3 linked regions of the Saccharomyces cerevisiae S288C genome follow. The protein of the gene in region 3 interacts with the protein of the main gene of each other region in a biochemical or structural test. Each region holds a gene or a part of one and is shown on either strand. Other genes may lie near its edges. The genes, in order: PKC1, PAH1 and NEM1.

Evidence for each region.
Region 1: of the proteins of NEM1 (region 3) and PKC1, one has a biochemical effect on the other in vitro, tested with the Saccharomyces cerevisiae proteins (2 studies listed by BioGRID).
Region 2: of the proteins of NEM1 (region 3) and PAH1, one has a biochemical effect on the other in vitro, tested with the Saccharomyces cerevisiae proteins (8 studies listed by BioGRID).

The regions. Positions count from the first base shown.
Region 1 is NC_001134.8:12,447-21,467, reverse strand, and holds PKC1 (protein kinase C), read left to right. Parts: upstream 1-3,771; coding exon 3,772-7,227; downstream 7,228-9,021. Other genes in the region: SEA4 (Sea4p), read left to right, coding at 175-3,291; putative Rab GTPase-binding protein SRO77, read left to right, coding at 7,589-9,021. UniProt on the Saccharomyces cerevisiae protein: Required for cell growth and for the G2->M transition of the cell division cycle. Mediates a protein kinase cascade; it activates BCK1 which itself activates MKK1/MKK2.
Region 2 is NC_001145.3:586,437-594,522, reverse strand, and holds PAH1 (phosphatidate phosphatase PAH1), read left to right. Parts: upstream 1-1,894; coding exon 1,895-4,483; downstream 4,484-8,086. Other genes in the region: MME1 (Mme1p), read left to right, coding at 50-1,156; MSS11 (Mss11p), read left to right, coding at 4,973-7,249. UniProt on the Saccharomyces cerevisiae protein: Mg(2+)-dependent phosphatidate (PA) phosphatase which catalyzes the dephosphorylation of PA to yield diacylglycerol. Required for de novo lipid synthesis and formation of lipid droplets.
Region 3 is NC_001140.6:111,254-118,502, reverse strand, and holds NEM1 (Nem1-Spo7 phosphatase catalytic subunit NEM1), read left to right. Parts: upstream 1-5,408; coding exon 5,409-6,749; downstream 6,750-7,249. Other genes in the region: STP2 (Stp2p), read right to left, coding at 1-689; protein transporter TIM10, read left to right, coding at 2,602-2,883; GPA1 (guanine nucleotide-binding protein subunit alpha), read left to right, coding at 3,586-5,004; TCD1 (tRNA threonylcarbamoyladenosine dehydratase), read left to right, coding at 7,186-7,249. UniProt on the Saccharomyces cerevisiae protein: Catalytic component of the NEM1-SPO7 complex which acts as a phosphatase and dephosphorylates the phosphatidic acid phosphohydrolase PAH1. Essential for the formation of a spherical nucleus and meiotic division.

The sequences.
Region 1 (9,021 bases), on a different chromosome or scaffold from region 3:
ATTGGAAAGCATATACCAAACGGTATACCACTGATAATATGAATGCAGAAGACTAATGCGCTACACATCATACTTTACGGCGATGATATATTTCAAGATAGCATAAGCTCTATGGTTATTCTGATGTTACTGGTAGTCGTAAGTGCAGTATCACGAACGTATAGAAGAATAAACATGGGTCTCATCAAAAAAGTGACCCATTGGTCATATGATAATTTGATTGATTATCTTTCAGTGAACCCTACAAGAGATGAAGTGACCCACTATAAAGTGGATCCGGAAAATGAATCTGATGAATCAATTATTAAATTACACACTGTGAAAGACTTCGGCAGTATCACCTGCTTAGACTATTCAGAATCAGAAATTGGTATGATTGGAGTTGGTGAAAAGAATGGATATTTAAGGATTTTTAATATCTCTGGACAAAATTCCTCATCGCCAGCGAGCCATGCGCCAGTGGGCTTAAATGCCAATAACGAGACTTCTATGACAAATGCCAGCGGTGGTAAGGCAGCTCAGGCGGAAAATATAGTTGGATCTGTCTCAAATTTAAAGGATACCCAAGGGTACCCTGTTTCAGAAACCAATTATGATATACGTGTACGAGCAAAGAAGCAGCGGTGTATAAACTCTCTGGGAATAAATACGAATGGTCTTATAGCAATGGGTCTTGACAGAAATAAGCATGATTCATCTTTACAAATTTGGGACATGAATTATCATGATGATTCGCATGAAACTATCAACCCAATGTTTAGTTATTGCACAAATGAAAGCATAGTATCCCTAAAGTTCCTCAACGATACCAGTGTATTGGCTGCAAGTACGAAATTTTTGAAAGAAATTGACGTCAGATCCCCCAACCCAATTTATCAACATCCGACACGATTGACGTATGATATCAAACTGAACCCGTTTAACGATTGGCAATTTAGTACTTATGGGGATGATGGGACCTTAGCTATTTGGGATAGGAGAAAATTATCTGACCAAGCTTCACTTGGTGATTTAAATGTAGCTTCCCCTTTATTAACTTTTGAAAAATTGGTTGGATCCGGTGCAGCGTCAAGGAAATACATGAACTCTTGCTTTAGGTGGTCATGTGTGAGGAACAATGAATTTGCCACCTTACATAGAGGTGATACCATCAAAAGATGGAGGTTAGGCTATTACTGCGATAGCAATCGTGATATTGCGGCAGATGACGATAACGAGATGAATATTGAGAATTTGTTTGTTTCTTCCGTGCATGACACAAATACGATGTACGATAGAGTTGCTACATTTGATTATATTCCAAGAAGTAATAATGGAACAAGTCTAATCTGTATGAGACAATCGGGAACAATATACAGAATGCCAATTTCAGAGGTATGCTCCAAGGCTATACTCAATAATAGGAACTCTCTCTTATTGTCAAATTTTGAAAATACTGAGATAGATGAAATTAGAGTCAACAATGAGCATGAAAAGTCCAACTTAGAGAATGTAAAAACAATCCTAAAGAATCTATCGTTTGAGGATTTAGATGTTAGCGAAGATTACTTTCCGTCTGGACATGATGAACCTAATAATGAAATTGAGTACTCCGAGTTGAGTGAAGAGGAAAATGAAGGGAGTAATGATGTCCTTGACAGTAAGCGTGGATTTGAACTGTTCTGGAAGCCAGAAAAACTTCTGGAAAAAGATATAAGTGTAATAATGAGGACGCGAGCTTCATTGGGATATGGTTTGGATCCAATGAACACGGTAGAGATGATTGATTCTTCTAAAAATCTACAAAACAATGCTTATATAAGGAACACATGGAGGTGGATCGCGATTGCAAAGGCTTCTGTTGACGATGGTACGATGGTTTCTGGTGATCTTGACTTAGGTTACGAAGGTGTGATAGGTATTTGGAATGGTATAAACGGAATATCGAACCAAGACAGATATAGACAAGAGACAATTCTTTCTGATAAACAACTAAATAAAGAAATGGAAAAAATCATCAAACTAAGAAGGAAAAATAGGGATCGGAACAGTCCTATTGCCAATGCCGCTGGTTCACCAAAGTACGTTCAGAGAAGACTCTGTTTAATTATCTCAGGATGGGACCTTTCCAGATCTGATTATGAAGACAAGTACAACATAATTATGAAAAACGGCCATTATGAAAAAGCTGCCGCTTGGGCGGTATTTTTTGGTGATATCCCAAAGGCTGTAGAAATATTGGGATCTGCAAAAAAGGAAAGATTGAGACTAATTGCCACCGCTATTGCAGGTTACTTGGCGTATAAGGATCTGCCAGGTAACAATGCATGGAGGCAGCAATGCAGAAAAATGTCCTCCGAATTAGATGATCCTTACTTGAGAGTTATTTTCGCCTTTATCGCAGACAATGATTGGTGGGATATTCTTTATGAACCTGCCATATCTTTGAGAGAACGATTAGGGGTAGCTCTAAGGTTTTTGAATGATACAGACCTAACCACTTTCTTAGATAGAACTTCATCTACAGTTATTGAAAACGGCGAATTAGAAGGTTTAATTCTCACCGGAATAACACCTAATGGTATCGATCTACTGCAATCATACGTTAATAAAACCAGCGATGTTCAGAGTGCCGCACTGATATCAATTTTCGGCTCCCCTAGATATTTCCGCGACCAACGAGTAGATGAATGGATACAAACTTATAGAGATATGCTTAAATCGTGGGAATTATTCTCCATGCGAGCCAGGTTCGATGTTTTAAGATCAAAATTATCGAGAACTAAAACTGGTGTATTAACTGCAGACATAAAGCCCCGGCAAATATATATCCAATGTCAAAACTGTAAACAAAACATCAACACTCCGCGCACATCCTCACCTTCTAGCGCCGTCTCTACTAGTGCTGGAAATTACAAAAATGGTGAAGCCTATAGAAGAAATAACGCTGACTACAAGAAATTTAATACTGGAAGTTCTGAAGCACAAGCAGCTGATGAAAAGCCAAGACATAAGTATTGTTGCCCACACTGTGGGTCTTCATTTCCAAGATGTGCCATATGTCTCATGCCTCTAGGAACGTCAAACTTACCTTTTGTAATAAATGGGACGCAATCACGCGATCCAATGCAGACAGAAGACTCTCAAGATGGTGCAAATCGCGAACTCGTAAGTAGAAAACTGAAGTTGAACGAGTGGTTCAGCTTCTGTTTGAGTTGCAACCATGGTATGCATGCCGGTCACGCTGAAGAATGGTTTGACAGACATAATGTTTGTCCCACTCCAGGTTGCACCTGCCAGTGTAATAAGTAGTATTGTACAATAAACCAAATCTTGCAACTTCTCTTTATTCTCACAATATATATACATAACCAAAGAAAAAACGTAATTAGTATAACATTGTATTTATGAGGCATTGCTATCTTCATTACCCAGCCCGCCTAGTTTTAAAGGCGAAAAAAACCGACGAAAAGAGTTAACAAGCGTGGATAATAAAGTTGATCTACTCTATCGAAAGTAATACGACAGGTTCAGGAGCAGTAAAAGAGCTACGATTTCACTGCTATTCAATTTGGCTGAGTAGAGACTGATTATTAACCATTGTAAAAGTCTCTGCCACCACTCGTCCACACTTACGTTAGAGGTATTCAGCGTCGATCCCCTTTCAGTATAGATTTTTAAAACTATATTAGATAATCAATAGGAATAAAACCTAGAACAGTAGCTGCGGAGAGAAGCTCTAGCGAGGAAAAGTAAGTATAGTATCACACATATAGGGAGCAGTTTACAGTCATGAGTTTTTCACAATTGGAGCAGAACATTAAAAAAAAGATAGCCGTCGAAGAAAATATTATTCGGGGAGCTTCTGCCCTCAAGAAAAAGACTAGCAATGTTATGGTCATTCAGAAATGTAATACGAATATTAGAGAGGCACGTCAAAATCTTGAGTACTTGGAGGATAGCTTAAAAAAATTACGGTTGAAGACCGCTCAACAAAGTCAGGGTGAAAATGGCAGCGAAGATAATGAGCGATGCAATTCGAAGGAATACGGGTTTCTTTCTACCAAATCGCCAAATGAACACATATTTTCTCGTTTGGATTTAGTAAAATATGATTGCCCTTCTTTGGCGCAAAGAATCCAATACATGTTGCAACAATTAGAATTCAAATTACAGGTGGAAAAGCAATACCAAGAAGCCAATACTAAATTGACTAAATTGTATCAAATTGACGGTGATCAACGTAGTAGTTCTGCGGCAGAAGGGGGTGCTATGGAATCCAAATACAGGATTCAAATGCTTAACAAAGCTTTGAAGAAATACCAAGCTATTAACGTTGACTTTGATCAATTTAAACACCAACCCAATGACATAATGGATAATCAACAACCGAAATTCCGAAGAAAACAACTGACTGGCGTTCTAACAATTGGAATAACTGCTGCTAGAGATGTTGACCATATACAATCACCGATGTTTGCCAGGAAGCCAGAGAGCTACGTTACTATAAAAATCGATGATACGATCAAAGCCAGAACGAAGCCTTCTAGAAATGACAGGTGGAGTGAAGATTTTCAAATTCCAGTTGAAAAAGGGAATGAAATCGAGATTACTGTATATGATAAGGTGAACGACTCGCTCATTCCAGTGGCTATAATGTGGTTACTGCTTTCCGATATCGCTGAAGAAATTCGTAAGAAGAAAGCCGGACAAACAAATGAACAACAAGGATGGGTCAACGCTTCAAACATTAATGGTGGTTCTTCTCTCGCTAGCGAAGAGGGAAGCACATTGACTTCTACATACTCAAACTCAGCCATTCAGTCTACTTCAGCAAAGAATGTGCAAGGCGAAAATACATCAACTAGTCAAATCAGTACGAATTCATGGTTTGTCTTAGAACCATCCGGGCAGATTTTGTTAACACTAGGATTCCACAAGTCTTCTCAAATAGAAAGGAAGCAGTTGATGGGTGGACTACATCGTCATGGTGCTATTATCAATAGGAAAGAAGAGATATTCGAACAGCATGGCCACCACTTTGTACAAAAATCATTTTACAACATTATGTGCTGTGCATATTGTGGTGATTTCCTTCGGTATACTGGGTTCCAATGTCAAGATTGTAAATTTTTATGTCACAAAAAATGTTACACCAATGTTGTTACTAAGTGTATTGCTAAAACTTCTACTGATACGGATCCGGACGAGGCAAAGTTGAACCACCGTATTCCTCATAGATTCCTGCCTACTTCAAACCGTGGTACTAAATGGTGCTGTCACTGTGGTTATATTTTACCATGGGGTAGACATAAAGTACGCAAATGTTCTGAATGTGGTATAATGTGTCATGCTCAATGTGCTCATTTGGTTCCCGATTTCTGTGGCATGTCGATGGAAATGGCTAATAAAATTCTGAAAACGATTCAAGACACAAAACGTAATCAAGAGAAAAAGAAGAGGACAGTTCCGTCGGCACAGTTGGGGTCATCTATTGGTACTGCCAATGGTAGTGATCTTTCCCCATCCAAATTAGCTGAAAGGGCAAACGCTCCTTTGCCTCCTCAGCCAAGAAAACATGATAAAACTCCTTCGCCTCAGAAGGTAGGAAGAGATTCTCCAACTAAGCAGCATGATCCTATTATTGATAAAAGAATTTCACTACAAACGCACGGGCGTGAGAAACTAAATAAATTTATCGATGAAAATGAGGCCTATTTAAATTTTACAGAAGGTGCACAACAAACCGCCGAATTTTCATCACCAGAGAAAACACTGGATCCAACGTCGAATAGACGTTCCTTGGGACTCACTGATTTATCTATTGAGCATAGTCAAACTTGGGAATCTAAAGATGATTTAATGAGAGATGAACTTGAACTGTGGAAAGCACAACGTGAGGAAATGGAACTTGAAATAAAACAAGATAGTGGGGAAATCCAAGAGGATCTAGAAGTTGATCACATTGATTTAGAGACCAAACAGAAACTAGACTGGGAGAACAAAAATGATTTCCGTGAAGCTGATTTGACAATAGATTCCACACACACAAATCCATTCCGCGATATGAATAGTGAAACCTTTCAAATTGAACAAGACCATGCTTCAAAGGAAGTACTACAAGAAACAGTGTCCTTGGCTCCTACAAGTACTCATGCCTCCAGAACCACTGATCAACAATCTCCGCAGAAATCACAAACCAGCACAAGCGCAAAGCATAAAAAGAGAGCGGCTAAACGTCGTAAGGTTTCATTAGATAATTTCGTATTACTCAAAGTTCTTGGTAAAGGTAATTTTGGTAAAGTTATTTTATCTAAATCAAAGAATACTGACAGGCTTTGTGCCATAAAAGTTCTGAAGAAAGATAATATTATTCAAAATCATGACATCGAGAGTGCAAGAGCAGAAAAGAAAGTATTTTTGTTAGCCACAAAAACTAAACACCCATTCTTAACCAATCTATACTGCTCTTTTCAAACTGAAAACCGTATATATTTTGCTATGGAGTTTATTGGGGGCGGTGACTTAATGTGGCATGTTCAAAACCAAAGACTATCTGTAAGAAGGGCCAAATTTTATGCCGCCGAGGTCTTACTGGCTCTGAAATATTTTCATGATAATGGTGTAATATACCGTGATTTGAAGTTGGAAAACATTCTATTAACTCCAGAAGGTCATATAAAAATTGCCGATTATGGTTTGTGTAAAGATGAAATGTGGTATGGTAATAGAACTTCTACATTTTGTGGCACACCAGAATTTATGGCTCCAGAAATTTTAAAAGAGCAAGAATATACCAAAGCTGTCGATTGGTGGGCATTTGGGGTGCTGCTATATCAAATGCTACTGTGCCAATCTCCATTCTCAGGAGATGACGAAGATGAAGTTTTTAACGCTATCCTTACCGATGAACCCTTATACCCAATAGATATGGCAGGTGAGATTGTACAAATATTCCAAGGCCTATTAACAAAAGATCCTGAAAAGAGGTTGGGTGCTGGTCCCAGGGACGCAGACGAAGTTATGGAAGAACCTTTCTTCCGTAACATCAACTTTGACGATATCTTAAACCTTCGCGTGAAACCACCCTACATCCCAGAAATTAAATCTCCGGAAGATACATCATATTTCGAGCAAGAATTCACCTCTGCGCCACCCACACTTACACCTCTGCCCTCTGTTTTGACAACGAGCCAGCAAGAAGAGTTTAGAGGATTTTCCTTTATGCCAGATGATTTGGATTTATGAAGAAAAGGTCATGCCATGATTTATTTAATTTTATATAAAACATCTAAGCGGAAAAGTTGAACTGTTCCGCTTCATAGGAGGAGAGGGTTTTTTTAATGAGATTTTGTTACATAAACTGAAACTATCCATTTTGATGCAATGCCTCTTTTTTGTTCGTACCTATCTTGGAGCATGCATATGAAAAACCTCGTTTAAGCGATGCGATGCGAAGCCGTATGTTCAACAATGCGCATTCTGTTTACATTATTAAGGAAGCATTTAAGAAACAGCTCAGTATTATATTACTACTAACATATTTCTAAAGTTGACAGATTATAAAAGTTACAAAATTGTCAATTGAACAGATACAAAAATTTTATAAATGTTTAAGAAAAGCAGGCATTTGAAGAATGTGTCAAATGCTATCAAATCCGCGAGAGTTCATGACGTCTCAAATGGTATTAACTCCAAATTTTTCGATACTAAGAAAATATGCACATACGGCATAAATGGACGAATCACTGTTACCACATTCGACTATACTCAAAGCCTTTTGGCAGTTGCAACTACTGCTGGGGAGATACATGTTTATGGGCAAAAGCAAATAGAGGTCGTATTTACGTTAAAAAATCGACCTCAAATTAAACACATGCGGTTTATTAAAGGAATTTATCTGATAGCTGTAGATGAGAAGAGCAACATAATAGTTCTTTCAGTACACTCGAAACAGATTCTAACTACTGTTTTCTGTCCAAACAGCATCACTTGTATTGAGACTGATCCGTCCTTGGATTGGATGCTGATTGGCCTCGAGAGTGGATCCATATTGATCTATGATGTGGATAGAAATCAAATGTCCAAATTGAAAATTGAAAACTTCCAGAAAAGTGTGTTTTTGCCAAAAGAGAGGCTATCACCGGTTATTTCTATCCAATGGAATCCTAGAGACATAGGAACGATACTTATATCATATGAGCATATTACAGTCATATATTCTTTCATTGACTACAAAGTCAAGCAACATTTTTTTTACCAATTAGAACCGTATGCTCCGGGCGGTGATCTATCCACAAACATAGAAAAGAAACGCACTCCAAAGGTCATTCAGTCACTTTATCACCCAAATTCCTTACATATATTAACTGTCCATGAAGATAATTCCTTGGTATTTTGGGATGTCAATAGCGGTAAACTGATTCACGCTAGAAGTATATTTGAAACACATGTGAATTTTCCAAATCCTGCCTTGAAAGACTGTTCCTTTACAGAAACACCCGCTATCTTTAAAGTAAGCTGGCTTTGCCAGCGTAATCCTGAGTATACATCGTTGTTGATTGCAACAAAAGCTACAGAAAATCCCTGTTTACCTCAGGAAATAACCATGATTGACTTAGGCGGCACACCAATGTATTCTGTGACATCATTTGACGCAATGAGCAAGTACTATGCTAAACCGGTTCAACAAAAACTATTTTCGTTGATTGGCAAAGCTCCACTAATAAATTTTCTACCCTTGCCGAAGGCTTCTCCATATTTTGGTGGATGCCATGACACAAACCTCATTTTATTACTTTTAGAAGATGGCGAACTTGAAACATTGATATACCCAGCAGGCTCTTTTAGTTCCAAGGCCTCCATTTTCCCTCGGAGCTTAGCATGGGTTCGACCAACGGTTACTACTTGTATAGCGCAATCAGTTCAAAAAAATCTTTGGCTGGGGATGATGACAATCGCTCAAAGTGAATCGTTTTTAAAAGGTGGTATTCCTGCCACCAGAAATATTAGAAGGCATGAGACCAGATCTGCTTTACTAAC
Region 2 (8,086 bases), on a different chromosome or scaffold from region 3:
CGAAGCACGCATAATAATCTTCACTTCCAACCGACTGGTATAAAAGATAATGAACTCATGGAACCTGAGTTCTTCAATACCGATAATACATACGCCTCATGACCATCCCCCGACATCAGAAGGAACTCCAGATCAACCAAATAATAACCGAAAAGATGATAAACTGCACAAAAAAAGAGGCGATTCAGATGAGGACTTAAGCCCTATATGGCATTGTGTCGTCTCCGGTGGGATTGGTGGAAAAATAGGAGATTCTGCGATGCATTCATTGGATACTGTTAAGACAAGACAACAGGGCGCACCCAATGTCAAAAAATACAGGAACATGATCTCTGCATATCGTACCATTTGGCTAGAAGAAGGCGTGAGAAGGGGGCTATACGGCGGTTACATGGCTGCCATGTTAGGCTCCTTCCCGTCAGCGGCAATCTTCTTTGGGACCTATGAATATACTAAGAGAACAATGATAGAAGATTGGCAGATTAACGATACCATCACACATTTGAGCGCTGGATTTCTTGGCGATTTTATCTCCAGTTTTGTTTATGTTCCATCAGAGGTCCTAAAGACAAGGCTACAATTGCAAGGAAGGTTCAATAATCCTTTCTTTCAATCTGGCTATAATTATTCGAATTTAAGAAATGCCATAAAGACAGTTATAAAAGAAGAAGGGTTTCGCTCACTATTTTTTGGATACAAAGCCACTTTAGCCAGAGATTTGCCATTTAGTGCATTGCAGTTTGCCTTCTACGAAAAGTTTAGGCAATTGGCTTTCAAGATTGAACAGAAAGATGGTAGGGATGGTGAGTTGTCTATACCTAATGAAATATTGACTGGTGCCTGTGCAGGTGGACTGGCGGGAATCATTACCACACCAATGGATGTTGTTAAGACTAGAGTCCAAACTCAACAGCCGCCCAGCCAAAGCAACAAATCATACTCAGTAACACATCCACATGTAACAAACGGCAGACCGGCAGCACTTTCCAACTCGATTTCGCTCAGCCTTCGGACGGTCTACCAATCTGAAGGTGTGTTAGGTTTCTTTAGTGGCGTTGGCCCTAGATTCGTCTGGACAAGTGTTCAGAGCAGTATAATGTTGCTTCTGTATCAAATGACCCTACGCGGATTAAGTAACGCATTTCCAACGGACTAAGAGCCTGATTTCTGGCTCATCTAACTCTCTAGAGGATAATTTTATGTGATAAAACTTTTCCTACAAGCGGCTACAATAAAGACAGTACAAGGGACCTCACCCTATTCGCCATCACTGCACATCACAGTGGGTCTTGTACTTATCATTTCACATACATAGATATAGGTTCTTCCGAATAAGTTTTGTATATAGTCATTTACGGCAAGAATACTCATCTAAGTTTAATACGCATTTCTCTCTTCGTTCGCAGTTCCTAACACTGAGCGTTCTTGTTTGGAGGGCTCGTTTAAAAAAAAGTCTAACAAATGTGACAGATTTGCTTGAACAGGGTCCAAACTCATCTTGTATATCATAACACTACATCACTGGGAGACAAAATCGAAGTGCCCACGTGCTGCTCATTCTCTAAACGGTCTGTCGCGGGCCCTTTTCGTCCTTCGGTTTCCCTCCCTTTAGACAATGGGCTCTCTTTTCTCTATTATCTATCTCTTTTTCTCGGCTTTTCCGGCCAGCGTTGAAAGCAGCGCACGGTGAGGGTAGAAGGAAGAGCAAGGACAAGTGAAGAGTAGGCCATCGTGGGGGCTTGTGTTTATAAAGAAAATACATTCAACAATTTAGTAAAACGTGTTCAAGAAGTGTTAATCAGACCAATTGGACACTACACCTTCGTAATCACAGTTTTACCTTCTAAGAAACATACAGGGAAGAAATTACTGAAGATAGACACATCGGTCGATTATGCAGTACGTAGGCAGAGCTCTTGGGTCTGTGTCTAAAACATGGTCTTCTATCAATCCGGCTACGCTATCAGGTGCTATAGATGTCATTGTAGTGGAGCATCCAGACGGAAGGCTATCATGTTCTCCCTTTCATGTGAGGTTCGGCAAATTTCAAATTCTAAAGCCATCTCAAAAGAAAGTCCAAGTGTTTATAAATGAGAAACTGAGTAATATGCCAATGAAACTGAGTGATTCTGGAGAAGCCTATTTCGTTTTCGAGATGGGTGACCAGGTCACTGATGTCCCTGACGAATTGCTTGTGTCGCCCGTGATGAGCGCCACATCAAGCCCCCCTCAATCACCTGAAACATCCATCTTAGAAGGAGGAACCGAGGGTGAAGGTGAAGGTGAAAATGAAAATAAGAAGAAGGAAAAGAAAGTGCTAGAGGAACCAGATTTTTTAGATATCAATGACACTGGAGATTCAGGCAGTAAAAATAGTGAAACTACAGGGTCGCTTTCTCCTACTGAATCCTCTACAACGACACCACCAGATTCAGTTGAAGAGAGGAAGCTTGTTGAGCAGCGTACAAAGAACTTTCAGCAAAAACTAAACAAAAAACTCACTGAAATCCATATACCCAGTAAACTTGATAACAATGGCGACTTACTACTAGACACTGAAGGTTACAAGCCAAACAAGAATATGATGCATGACACAGACATACAACTGAAGCAGTTGTTAAAGGACGAATTCGGTAATGATTCAGATATTTCCAGTTTTATCAAGGAGGACAAAAATGGCAACATCAAGATCGTAAATCCTTACGAGCACCTTACTGATTTATCTCCTCCAGGTACGCCTCCAACAATGGCCACAAGCGGATCAGTTTTAGGCTTAGATGCAATGGAATCAGGAAGTACTTTGAATTCGTTATCTTCTTCACCTTCTGGTTCCGATACTGAGGACGAAACATCATTTAGCAAAGAACAAAGCAGTAAAAGTGAAAAAACTAGCAAGAAAGGAACAGCAGGGAGCGGTGAGACCGAGAAAAGATACATACGAACGATAAGATTGACTAATGACCAGTTAAAGTGCCTAAATTTAACTTATGGTGAAAATGATCTGAAATTTTCCGTAGATCACGGAAAAGCTATTGTTACGTCAAAATTATTCGTTTGGAGGTGGGATGTTCCAATTGTTATCAGTGATATTGATGGCACCATCACAAAATCGGACGCTTTAGGCCATGTTCTGGCAATGATAGGAAAAGACTGGACGCACTTGGGTGTAGCCAAGTTATTTAGCGAGATCTCCAGGAATGGCTATAATATACTCTATCTAACTGCAAGAAGTGCTGGACAAGCTGATTCCACGAGGAGTTATTTGCGATCAATTGAACAGAATGGCAGCAAACTACCAAATGGGCCTGTGATTTTATCACCCGATAGAACGATGGCTGCGTTAAGGCGGGAAGTAATACTAAAAAAACCTGAAGTCTTTAAAATCGCGTGTCTAAACGACATAAGATCCTTGTATTTTGAAGACAGTGATAACGAAGTGGATACAGAGGAAAAATCAACACCATTTTTTGCCGGCTTTGGTAATAGGATTACTGATGCTTTATCTTACAGAACTGTGGGGATACCTAGTTCAAGAATTTTCACAATAAATACAGAGGGTGAGGTTCATATGGAATTATTGGAGTTAGCAGGTTACAGAAGCTCCTATATTCATATCAATGAGCTTGTCGATCATTTCTTTCCACCAGTCAGCCTTGATAGTGTCGATCTAAGAACTAATACTTCCATGGTTCCTGGCTCCCCCCCTAATAGAACGTTGGATAACTTTGACTCAGAAATTACTTCAGGTCGCAAAACGCTATTTAGAGGCAATCAGGAAGAGAAATTCACAGACGTAAATTTTTGGAGAGACCCGTTAGTCGACATCGACAACTTATCGGATATTAGCAATGATGATTCTGATAACATCGATGAAGATACTGACGTATCACAACAAAGCAACATTAGTAGAAATAGGGCAAATTCAGTCAAAACCGCCAAGGTCACTAAAGCCCCGCAAAGAAATGTGAGCGGCAGCACAAATAACAACGAAGTTTTAGCCGCTTCGTCTGATGTAGAAAATGCGTCTGACCTGGTGAGTTCCCATAGTAGCTCAGGATCCACGCCCAATAAATCTACAATGTCCAAAGGGGACATTGGAAAACAAATATATTTGGAGCTAGGTTCTCCACTTGCATCGCCAAAACTAAGATATTTAGACGATATGGATGATGAAGACTCCAATTACAATAGAACTAAATCAAGGAGAGCATCTTCTGCAGCCGCGACTAGTATCGATAAAGAGTTCAAAAAGCTCTCTGTGTCAAAGGCCGGCGCTCCAACAAGAATTGTTTCAAAGATCAACGTTTCAAATGACGTACATTCACTTGGGAATTCAGATACCGAATCACGAAGGGAGCAAAGTGTTAATGAAACAGGGCGCAATCAGCTACCCCACAACTCAATGGACGATAAAGATTTGGATTCAAGAGTAAGCGATGAATTCGATGACGATGAATTCGACGAAGATGAATTCGAAGATTAAAGATTCTTGTAGCCGAATATTATTTATAACGATCCATACTGCATATTAAGTAAAATTATGAAGTACTAAGTAACAATTTTTCAATTTTATTTAAGAAAAGAGAAGGAAAAAAAAAAGAAGAAAATTTTTTGATAGAAGAAAAAGGTAAACGATGATTGTTACGTACCAAGTGTTCTTCTGAGCTATTTGGTAATTACATACTTCTTCGAAATGTCAAGGTAAATACTTTTCTATACGCACACGAAACTCGCTTGCTGCAACAGGTATTACGTCAGGTGAAAAAAGCGGCCAAGAGGCAATGCCGAAATACAATGCGTGTATAACAGGAAGAGGAGGGGTATAATAAAATCACCATAGTAGAAAAGACCAGAAAGATTTCTATTGCAATCCTGTGTGACTCTTTTGGTTTTTCCCTTTGGTATCTCCCGGTTCTTTTGTCAATTTTTCGTTAAACTGCAGTGAAATAAGAAAAAGGTGCATGATAAAGATATGGATAACACGACCAATATTAATACAAATGAGCGCTCTAGTAACACGGATTTTAGCTCAGCTCCCAATATCAAAGGTTTGAATAGCCATACTCAGTTGCAGTTTGATGCGGATTCTCGAGTTTTCGTTTCGGATGTAATGGCTAAGAACTCTAAGCAATTATTGTACGCCCATATTTATAACTATTTAATCAAAAACAATTACTGGAACTCTGCCGCAAAATTTTTAAGCGAAGCTGACCTTCCTTTATCTAGAATAAACGGATCTGCTTCGGGTGGGAAAACTAGCTTGAACGCCAGCCTGAAGCAGGGATTAATGGATATTGCATCTAAGGGTGACATTGTTAGTGAAGATGGGCTATTACCTTCGAAAATGCTGATGGACGCTAATGACACGTTTTTACTGGAATGGTGGGAAATTTTTCAATCATTGTTCAATGGAGACCTAGAATCTGGGTACCAACAGGATCATAATCCTTTAAGAGAGAGAATAATACCAATTTTGCCAGCTAATTCTAAATCTAATATGCCTTCCCATTTCTCTAATCTCCCACCAAATGTGATTCCACCAACTCAAAATAGTTTTCCAGTTTCAGAGGAGAGTTTTAGGCCCAATGGTGACGGAAGTAACTTTAATTTAAACGATCCAACCAATCGAAACGTCTCCGAAAGATTTCTATCGAGAACTTCCGGTGTCTACGACAAACAGAATAGCGCTAATTTTGCACCTGATACTGCTATAAACAGTGATATTGCTGGGCAGCAGTACGCAACTATAAATCTACATAAACACTTCAATGATTTGCAATCACCAGCACAGCCCCAGCAATCATCTCAACAGCAGATCCAGCAGCCTCAGCATCAACCCCAGCATCAACCGCAACAGCAACAGCAACAGCAACAACAACAACAACAACAGCAACAGCAACAGCAACAGCAACAGCAGCAACAGCAACAGCAACAGCAACAACATCAACAGCAGCAACAGACACCGTATCCTATTGTCAACCCACAAATGGTCCCTCATATTCCATCGGAAAATTCTCATTCAACCGGACTTATGCCTTCAGTGCCTCCTACAAATCAACAATTTAATGCACAAACCCAATCTTCAATGTTTTCAGACCAGCAGCGCTTCTTTCAATATCAATTACACCACCAAAATCAAGGACAGGCGCCATCTTTTCAGCAAAGCCAATCTGGCAGGTTTGATGACATGAACGCTATGAAAATGTTTTTTCAGCAGCAAGCACTACAGCAAAATTCACTACAGCAAAATCTTGGAAATCAAAATTATCAATCTAATACACGTAACAATACTGCGGAAGAAACTACGCCCACAAATGACAATAACGCAAATGGCAATAGTTTATTGCAAGAACACATACGAGCCCGCTTCAATAAGATGAAAACAATTCCTCAACAAATGAAAAATCAAAGCACTGTCGCAAATCCGGTTGTTAGTGATATAACATCTCAACAGCAGTACATGCATATGATGATGCAAAGAATGGCGGCTAACCAGCAATTACAAAATAGTGCCTTTCCTCCAGACACTAATCGTATAGCGCCAGCTAACAACACTATGCCATTACAACCAGGAAATATGGGGTCTCCTGTCATTGAAAATCCAGGTATGAGGCAGACTAATCCATCCGGACAAAACCCTATGATCAATATGCAGCCCTTATATCAAAATGTTTCTTCCGCAATGCATGCGTTCGCTCCGCAACAACAATTTCATCTACCACAACATTATAAAACCAATACTTCAGTACCACAAAATGATTCTACCTCCGTCTTTCCTTTGCCTAACAATAACAATAACAATAACAACAACAACAATAATAATAATAATAATAATAGTAATAATAGTAATAATAATAATAATAATAATAATAATAATAATAATAGTAATAATACACCCACAGTATCACAACCATCATCAAAATGTACTTCTAGCTCCAGCACAACTCCTAATATAACTACAACAATTCAACCCAAGCGGAAACAGAGAGTGGGTAAAACAAAGACCAAGGAATCAAGAAAAGTTGCTGCAGCTCAGAAAGTTATGAAATCTAAGAAACTGGAACAAAATGGTGATTCAGCTGCTACAAACTTCATCAATGTCACTCCAAAGGACAGTGGCGGTAAGGGTACCGTAAAAGTTCAAAACAGTAACTCGCAGCAACAACTAAATGGCTCTTTTTCTATGGATACAGAAACATTCGACATATTTAACATTGGTGACTTTTCTCCTGATCTAATGGATAGCTAAAACCTATTAAACAACAAAAAGTGTTTCATCGTCATTCTTCCAATACTAACCGTTGCATCTTTTCTTTCATATGAGTAGTATGTTTCTAATTTGAATCTTTAAGAAAATTGTTTGTCTGTATTTGTCGGAACGATTTTTGGGATCATCGTTCAGTGCAGGTGTATCGTTTCTCAAATGAAGTGTGAAACTTACTTCTCACTTAGGTTTTCAAAATAATGGCATATAAAGATGGTCTAACATCTATACATATTTTTGACCAAGCAGGAGTCAATCGTTAGAGTAAGTGAGTATATCAGTTTAGTTATTTTAAATTAGACAATGTAATGGAGGGGTGCCAGTGACACTATATAAAATAAAAAAAAAATTTGCATCTGGTGCGCAATAGCGTTCTTGTAACCAAATTTCTATTCCGGTCGAATTTAAACTAGCAAGAAAATAGGTAAGCAAGCTATCTGGCCAGCTAAAAAGACGGTGCCTCAAAGTTTTCGGAATTTTTATATTTAATTCCTAACATATTTAGAGAAATGTAGCATACTCTTTATACAGAATTCTCCAACTTACTATGGTTTCGTGGTCTAGTCGGTTATGGCATCTGCTTAACACGCAGAACGTCCCCAGTTCGATCCTGGGCGAAATCATTTTTTTGAAGACATCCCGCATGAAAACATCAAAACGTAAATAAAAACACTTGATCTGAAAATAAACTAAACATTCATCTTCACCCAATATCATAAATGATTAGGTGACTACCGGATACTAGACGGTTATAGGAGTTTTATCAAAGGTCAAAATCTCACCCCCTCAATAACTGCTCGGCATACCTCACGCTTATTGCAA
Region 3 (7,249 bases):
TTCCTTTTCGCATGCTTTTTTATGTGTCGTGTTAAGTAACCTCTGATTCGGAACCTAGCATCGCAATAGTGACATATATATGGTAAAGTTTCGGATGACTCATCAGCAATTCCTTGAACCTCATCGGATAGGGGAGATTCATCAATACTTTTCTTCGATGCAGGAGTGATTACGCTACTTACGGGCGTGATTGGAAGGAAATTAGAGGGGAAAAGAGCTTTGTACTGGTCATTATTGATATAGGATTCCTCTAGCGGGGGAGAACTTATCAAGTCATTCTGTAACTTTGCTGGCTCGCCGCGGCTAGGGCCCCGTAAAATCGGTTCGTCCAAGTTCAACTGTGTAGTGACTGCACCATTATTATCAATTTTAATTGAGAAAGGTGTTTCTAGGTTATCCAAATTTAAAGCACAGGGTACAACTGAAGATTTTGATGTTAGACTCAATTGTTTGTTGTTCTGTTTGGGAAATAATTCGCTCACGTCAACCAGATCGTCCTTTTCGGTAGCACAGCAGTCTTTCTGTGGATGGTTCTGTTTCGCAGGTTCTAACTTTTCGAAAGGAGTACTTTTCGAAGATTTGTCGTCTTCCACATTGGGCACAATCACTTGCTGCACTAATGCTTTAAGGTAGTCATATATCCTTGTTAACACGCTGTTCCGTGTTGAAGATAGTGATAAGATAGGCATGATAATGGATTTCCTTACTTCCCCAACTTTTTGCTCTCTTGCATTTGTCTGTTTGTCGGATGATTAATCACTGTTTTTCATTTATTAATCATCGTTTTTCTCGCTTTTTGCCCGTATTGGAATGTGAAGAGAAAAAAAAAATGATAAGAATTCTAAAAAAAGATACTCTTCGTTCGAATGGATGACTCTAAGAAGGGTAACAGACTTTCAATCTTCAAATAACATTATAATCTCTATTCTAGCCCTTAGAGGAGCATGTCATGCGTTCAGAACCTCCATTAATAGCTTACTTTATAACTTTCTATCAGTCACAAGTTAAACGTCGACAATTTTTGTGGGAAATGGTCTGTTTTTTTTCTTCAGTTAATAAATCTCGTTCTTGACTGCAGGTAATTAATGGTATCGTGATCGTTACCTATGCTTACACACTATAAGAATTTTCTTCGTGAGAATTGGCCCATTTCTCTGGTTCTTCTGAAGAGAGTTTTGCTGACCATCAATCAGCTTTACGAAAATTTACCGCCCAATTTCTTGCCAAAATGCCATCCATATTCCCATTCATTGGAATTCTTTCACTATTTTATCATTTCAATGTTCTTTGTAGCAACAGGCTCTTCTTTTTCACGCTTACTGTGATCATTTGTTATAAGTGCTGGTATTTTCTCTCTTCTGGAATTCCGTGCTATTGATATCACGACATGTGCGCTTCTCATGATTTTGCCGCCCAAGGCACATTTTGCCGTCTGTTTTTAACCTAATATTTATGTCGCGGGTATATTATCATATATTGCGTAAGAGGATGGTATTGCTGATGGGAAGTGGTCAACAAATTCAATAGGCACTGAAATGTAAGGGCTGACAATGTAATTGGATAAAGAAAGGCAACACATGAAAGGAAGAAAAAAAAAACGTTATTTATTATTATGTAAAACTATTGACCTCACCTTTGTGATTCACGCTGTCCTCGTGAAAAAACTTTTTTTGTTTTTGTAGACCTAATAAAAGAACCTTTTTTAACAATGTCCTAACAATAATTTCAACAGTTGCCAAACCTCAAATAGTGTTGGAATAAAAATCCACTATCGTCTATCAACTAATAGTTATATTATCAATATATTATCATATACGGTGTTAAGATGATGACATAAGTTATGAGAAGCTGTCATCGATGTTAGAGGAAGCTGAAGTGCAAGGATTGATAATGTAATAGGATAATGAAACATATAAAACGGAATGAGGAATAATCGTGATATTAGTAAATAGAAATATAGATTCCATTTTGAGGATTCCTATATCCTCGAGGAGAACTTCTAGTATATTCTGTATACCTAATATTATAGCCTTTATCAAAAATGGAATCCCAACAATTATCTCAACATTCACCCATTTCTCAAATAGTATGTTTTGGTGTTAAAGAAGAACATTGGAAACAAAGGAAAGGTAAGCATTAGCCCGGAAACAAAACAAGAGGAAGTAATATACACCTTTTTGGTTAACTTGTTCGTTCAGAAGAGCCCAAGTATGTAATTATTTTTTGCAAATCTTTCCTCAGTAACGATAACGACACGAAGGTAATATTTTAAAACATTTATCAACAAGTCACTAAATATAATCTGGGTCCTATCACTATTAGAGCTTCTATGGCCAAGTTGGTAAGGCGCCACACTAGTAATGTGGAGATCATCGGTTCAAATCCGATTGGAAGCATTTTTTGCATTGATTTCCCAATTCGTAGCTGATGATCACCCTCTGAAGCTATCGGACATTTTTTTTCTTTAATTTTTTCAGCGAGAGAGCTGGCAGTGAACGTACAAGAGCAAGCTCTCTAAAGAACTATTACTCTCCTCGTTCCCCTCTCATGTCTTTTAACAGATAAACAAGCAAAAGAAGGAACTATCATACTTAGAAAAACATGTCTTTCTTAGGTTTCGGTGGTGGTCAGCCTCAATTATCATCTCAACAAAAGATTCAAGCTGCGGAAGCTGAACTAGATTTGGTCACAGACATGTTCAATAAATTGGTTAATAACTGTTATAAAAAATGTATCAATACTTCTTATTCCGAGGGTGAGCTGAATAAGAATGAATCTTCGTGCCTAGACAGATGTGTGGCCAAATATTTTGAGACCAATGTTCAAGTCGGTGAAAACATGCAGAAAATGGGCCAATCATTTAACGCAGCCGGTAAGTTTTAGAAATGTGCATTAAAGCAGTAATGATAAGACGAAAATAAGAAAAGAAATCCATAAGCTGTTTTACTCGACTCAACGTTATAATTAGTATTATTGATTCATATCCTGTATATACAAGTAACATTATACTCTTTTCTGTACTTCATCTTTACCTTTTTATCTTACATGGCACATGTTGTTTGAAAACAAGATCATAGGTGGATAAAGCAAGCCGAATCTAAAAAAAAAAAAATGTCTCTATTGGAAAACTGAATGCATAACGATATTCCCTTTTCATGCAGATAACACTGACTAGTTTCAATTTGAAACGCATCTTCGTGTTATTTCACCGAAACGCACTCGGCTCAGCATGTTAAAAAGCACATCAATTTAGGGCTCTGCGCGTCCTTCTGCGTATTCTTCCTTGTAGAAATGCAATTAAATGGAGAGCAGAAATTTTTTTGTTACATATTGTTTTCCTTAAAGGGAAATATTAAAAAATAGTCTAAAATGAAGAGGATAGTAGAATTCCACCAATTTCTTTACGTTTTATATTATTCGTAATCTTTTGATCTGTTATTCATTTTTTCTTGTCACTCCGTTTCTAACATTTTTGACCATTTCTAAGACCAAACTGAGTAGAAGCTATTCATACTGTAAATTGGTATTTTAGCATCACATCAATAATCCAGAGGTGTATAAATTGATATATTAAGGTAGGAAATAATGGGGTGTACAGTGAGTACGCAAACAATAGGAGACGAAAGTGATCCTTTTCTACAGAACAAAAGAGCCAATGATGTCATCGAGCAATCGTTGCAGCTGGAGAAACAACGTGACAAGAATGAAATAAAACTGTTACTATTAGGTGCCGGTGAGTCAGGTAAATCAACGGTTTTAAAACAATTAAAATTATTACATCAAGGCGGTTTCTCCCATCAAGAAAGGTTACAGTATGCTCAAGTGATATGGGCAGATGCCATACAATCAATGAAAATTTTGATTATTCAGGCCAGAAAACTAGGTATTCAACTTGACTGTGATGATCCGATCAACAATAAAGATTTGTTTGCATGCAAGAGAATACTGCTAAAGGCTAAAGCTTTAGATTATATCAACGCCAGTGTTGCCGGTGGTTCTGATTTTCTAAATGATTATGTACTGAAGTACTCAGAAAGGTATGAAACTAGGAGGCGTGTTCAGAGTACCGGACGAGCAAAAGCTGCTTTCGATGAAGACGGAAATATTTCTAATGTCAAAAGTGACACTGACAGAGATGCTGAAACGGTGACGCAAAATGAGGATGCTGATAGAAACAACAGTAGTAGAATTAACCTACAGGATATTTGCAAGGACTTGAACCAAGAAGGCGATGACCAGATGTTTGTTAGAAAAACATCAAGGGAAATTCAAGGACAAAATAGACGAAATCTTATTCACGAAGACATTGCTAAGGCAATAAAGCAACTTTGGAATAACGACAAAGGTATAAAGCAGTGTTTTGCACGTTCTAATGAGTTTCAATTGGAGGGCTCAGCTGCATACTACTTTGATAACATTGAGAAATTTGCTAGTCCGAATTATGTCTGTACGGATGAAGACATTTTGAAGGGCCGTATAAAGACTACAGGCATTACAGAAACCGAATTTAACATCGGCTCGTCCAAATTCAAGGTTCTCGACGCTGGTGGGCAGCGTTCTGAACGTAAGAAGTGGATTCATTGTTTCGAAGGAATTACAGCAGTTTTATTTGTTTTAGCAATGAGTGAATACGACCAGATGTTGTTTGAGGATGAAAGAGTGAACAGAATGCATGAATCAATAATGCTATTTGACACGTTATTGAACTCTAAGTGGTTCAAAGATACACCGTTTATTTTGTTTTTAAATAAAATTGATTTGTTCGAGGAAAAGGTAAAAAGCATGCCCATAAGAAAGTACTTTCCTGATTACCAGGGACGTGTCGGCGATGCAGAAGCGGGTCTAAAATATTTTGAGAAGATATTTTTGAGCTTGAATAAGACAAACAAACCAATCTACGTGAAACGAACCTGCGCTACCGATACCCAAACTATGAAGTTCGTATTGAGTGCAGTCACCGATCTAATCATCCAGCAAAACCTTAAAAAAATTGGTATTATATGAAGGAACTGTATAATTAAAGTAGTGTTTAGATACGTAAATTCTGTTTCCGAAGATGCAAGAAGGAGCAGCAGCACCAGAAAAAATTACTATTTTTCTTCTCCATTAGAGTCTATGATGGAATGCCAAATGAAAAAGCCATTTTGTTCAACAGTTCTTGATCTCGTTAAATCGTTCCGGGTTTTCAATTGAAAAACAAGGGTAATAAAATCGCATGAGAAAAAAAAGGTCCAGACACTTTTTTAGAAGAAAAACTCTTGAAAACAATTGATTCTTCTACGTAAGGACAGGGTATTATCTCGAATTCTTCTCCCTGGTAAATACTCGGGATATATAGAACCTATTTTGCATCCTATTCTCACTTTTCTTTATTGTTGTTAATTTCTGGACATTGTTTCATTAATTGAATGAATGCCCTAAAATATTTCTCAAATCATTTAATAACTACAAAGAAACAAAAAAAAATCAATGTTGAGGTGACAAAGAATCAAGATCTACTAGGCCCTTCAAAGGAAGTTTCGAACAAATATACTAGCCACAGCGAAAATGATTGCGTTAGTGAGGTGGACCAACAGTACGACCACTCCTCAAGCCACTTAAAAGAATCTGATCAAAATCAAGAGCGCAAAAATTCTGTTCCTAAAAAACCAAAAGCTTTACGTTCCATCCTAATAGAGAAAATAGCGTCAATTTTGTGGGCACTACTACTTTTTCTTCCGTATTATCTGATAATCAAGCCCTTGATGTCTTTATGGTTTGTTTTTACCTTCCCACTAAGTGTCATCGAGCGTCGTGTAAAACACACCGATAAGAGAAACAGGGGTTCAAATGCTAGTGAGAATGAGCTGCCTGTCAGTTCAAGCAATATTAACGATTCTAGCGAGAAAACAAATCCTAAAAATTGCAATCTAAATACGATTCCCGAGGCAGTTGAGGATGACTTAAATGCCAGTGATGAGATAATTCTACAAAGGGATAATGTTAAAGGCTCATTACTTAGAGCTCAATCTGTCAAATCAAGGCCAAGAAGTTATTCCAAATCAGAACTATCACTTTCTAATCATTCAAGTTCTAATACCGTATTTGGTACAAAACGAATGGGAAGGTTCTTATTTCCAAAGAAGCTGATACCTAAATCCGTGCTTAACACACAAAAGAAAAAGAAACTGGTTATAGATCTCGATGAGACCTTAATTCACTCGGCTTCTCGAAGTACAACGCATAGTAATTCTTCTCAGGGTCACTTGGTGGAAGTGAAGTTTGGATTGAGCGGAATTCGTACACTATACTTTATTCACAAGAGGCCTTACTGTGATTTATTTTTGACAAAAGTTAGCAAATGGTACGACCTTATCATTTTTACAGCATCCATGAAAGAATACGCTGATCCTGTGATAGATTGGTTAGAAAGCTCCTTCCCATCCAGTTTTTCAAAAAGATATTACCGTTCTGATTGCGTTCTAAGGGATGGTGTTGGATACATTAAAGATTTGAGCATTGTCAAGGACTCCGAAGAAAACGGGAAAGGCAGCTCCTCTTCTTTGGATGATGTCATTATTATAGATAACAGCCCGGTAAGTTACGCAATGAATGTAGATAACGCTATTCAAGTAGAAGGATGGATAAGTGATCCAACTGATACGGACTTACTGAACCTGTTACCTTTCTTGGAGGCTATGAGGTATTCAACAGATGTCAGGAATATACTGGCATTGAAACATGGAGAGAAGGCATTCAACATAAACTGACAATTGTTATTGTGTCCTTCCAAAAAAGATGAGAATTTTAGGTGATAAATCGCCTATCCATTGCTGCTCATTTAATGGAAAGGTTATTGCATTCAGGGAAAAAAGTAACGGGAGAAAAAAGAGAAAAGACCTCTTTTTTGTTTTCTACATACGAGCATATTAATTATTTAGCAGGAAGATATACTTGATCTAAACAGTATATATATATATATATATATATATAGGTTGGGAATTAATCTTGAAATTTTTTTAGTCTTACGTTATCTTCAGCAGTGACACGCTAAATGCCCGTATCTTACTTTACATTTTGCTGTCAGGTTTTTTGATTTCTTTTTCATATTTTATGCAGTAGCGAAAAGAGACAAGACTATGAAAAAATTTTCTAGCGTTAGTAAAGTATTAATACTGCAATTAGTTAGGATAGCAGAACGAACAAATGGCAAATAATACGTGGAAGTTAATTGCTACTACAGCTCTTATATCGGTGTTTTCAACCCAAC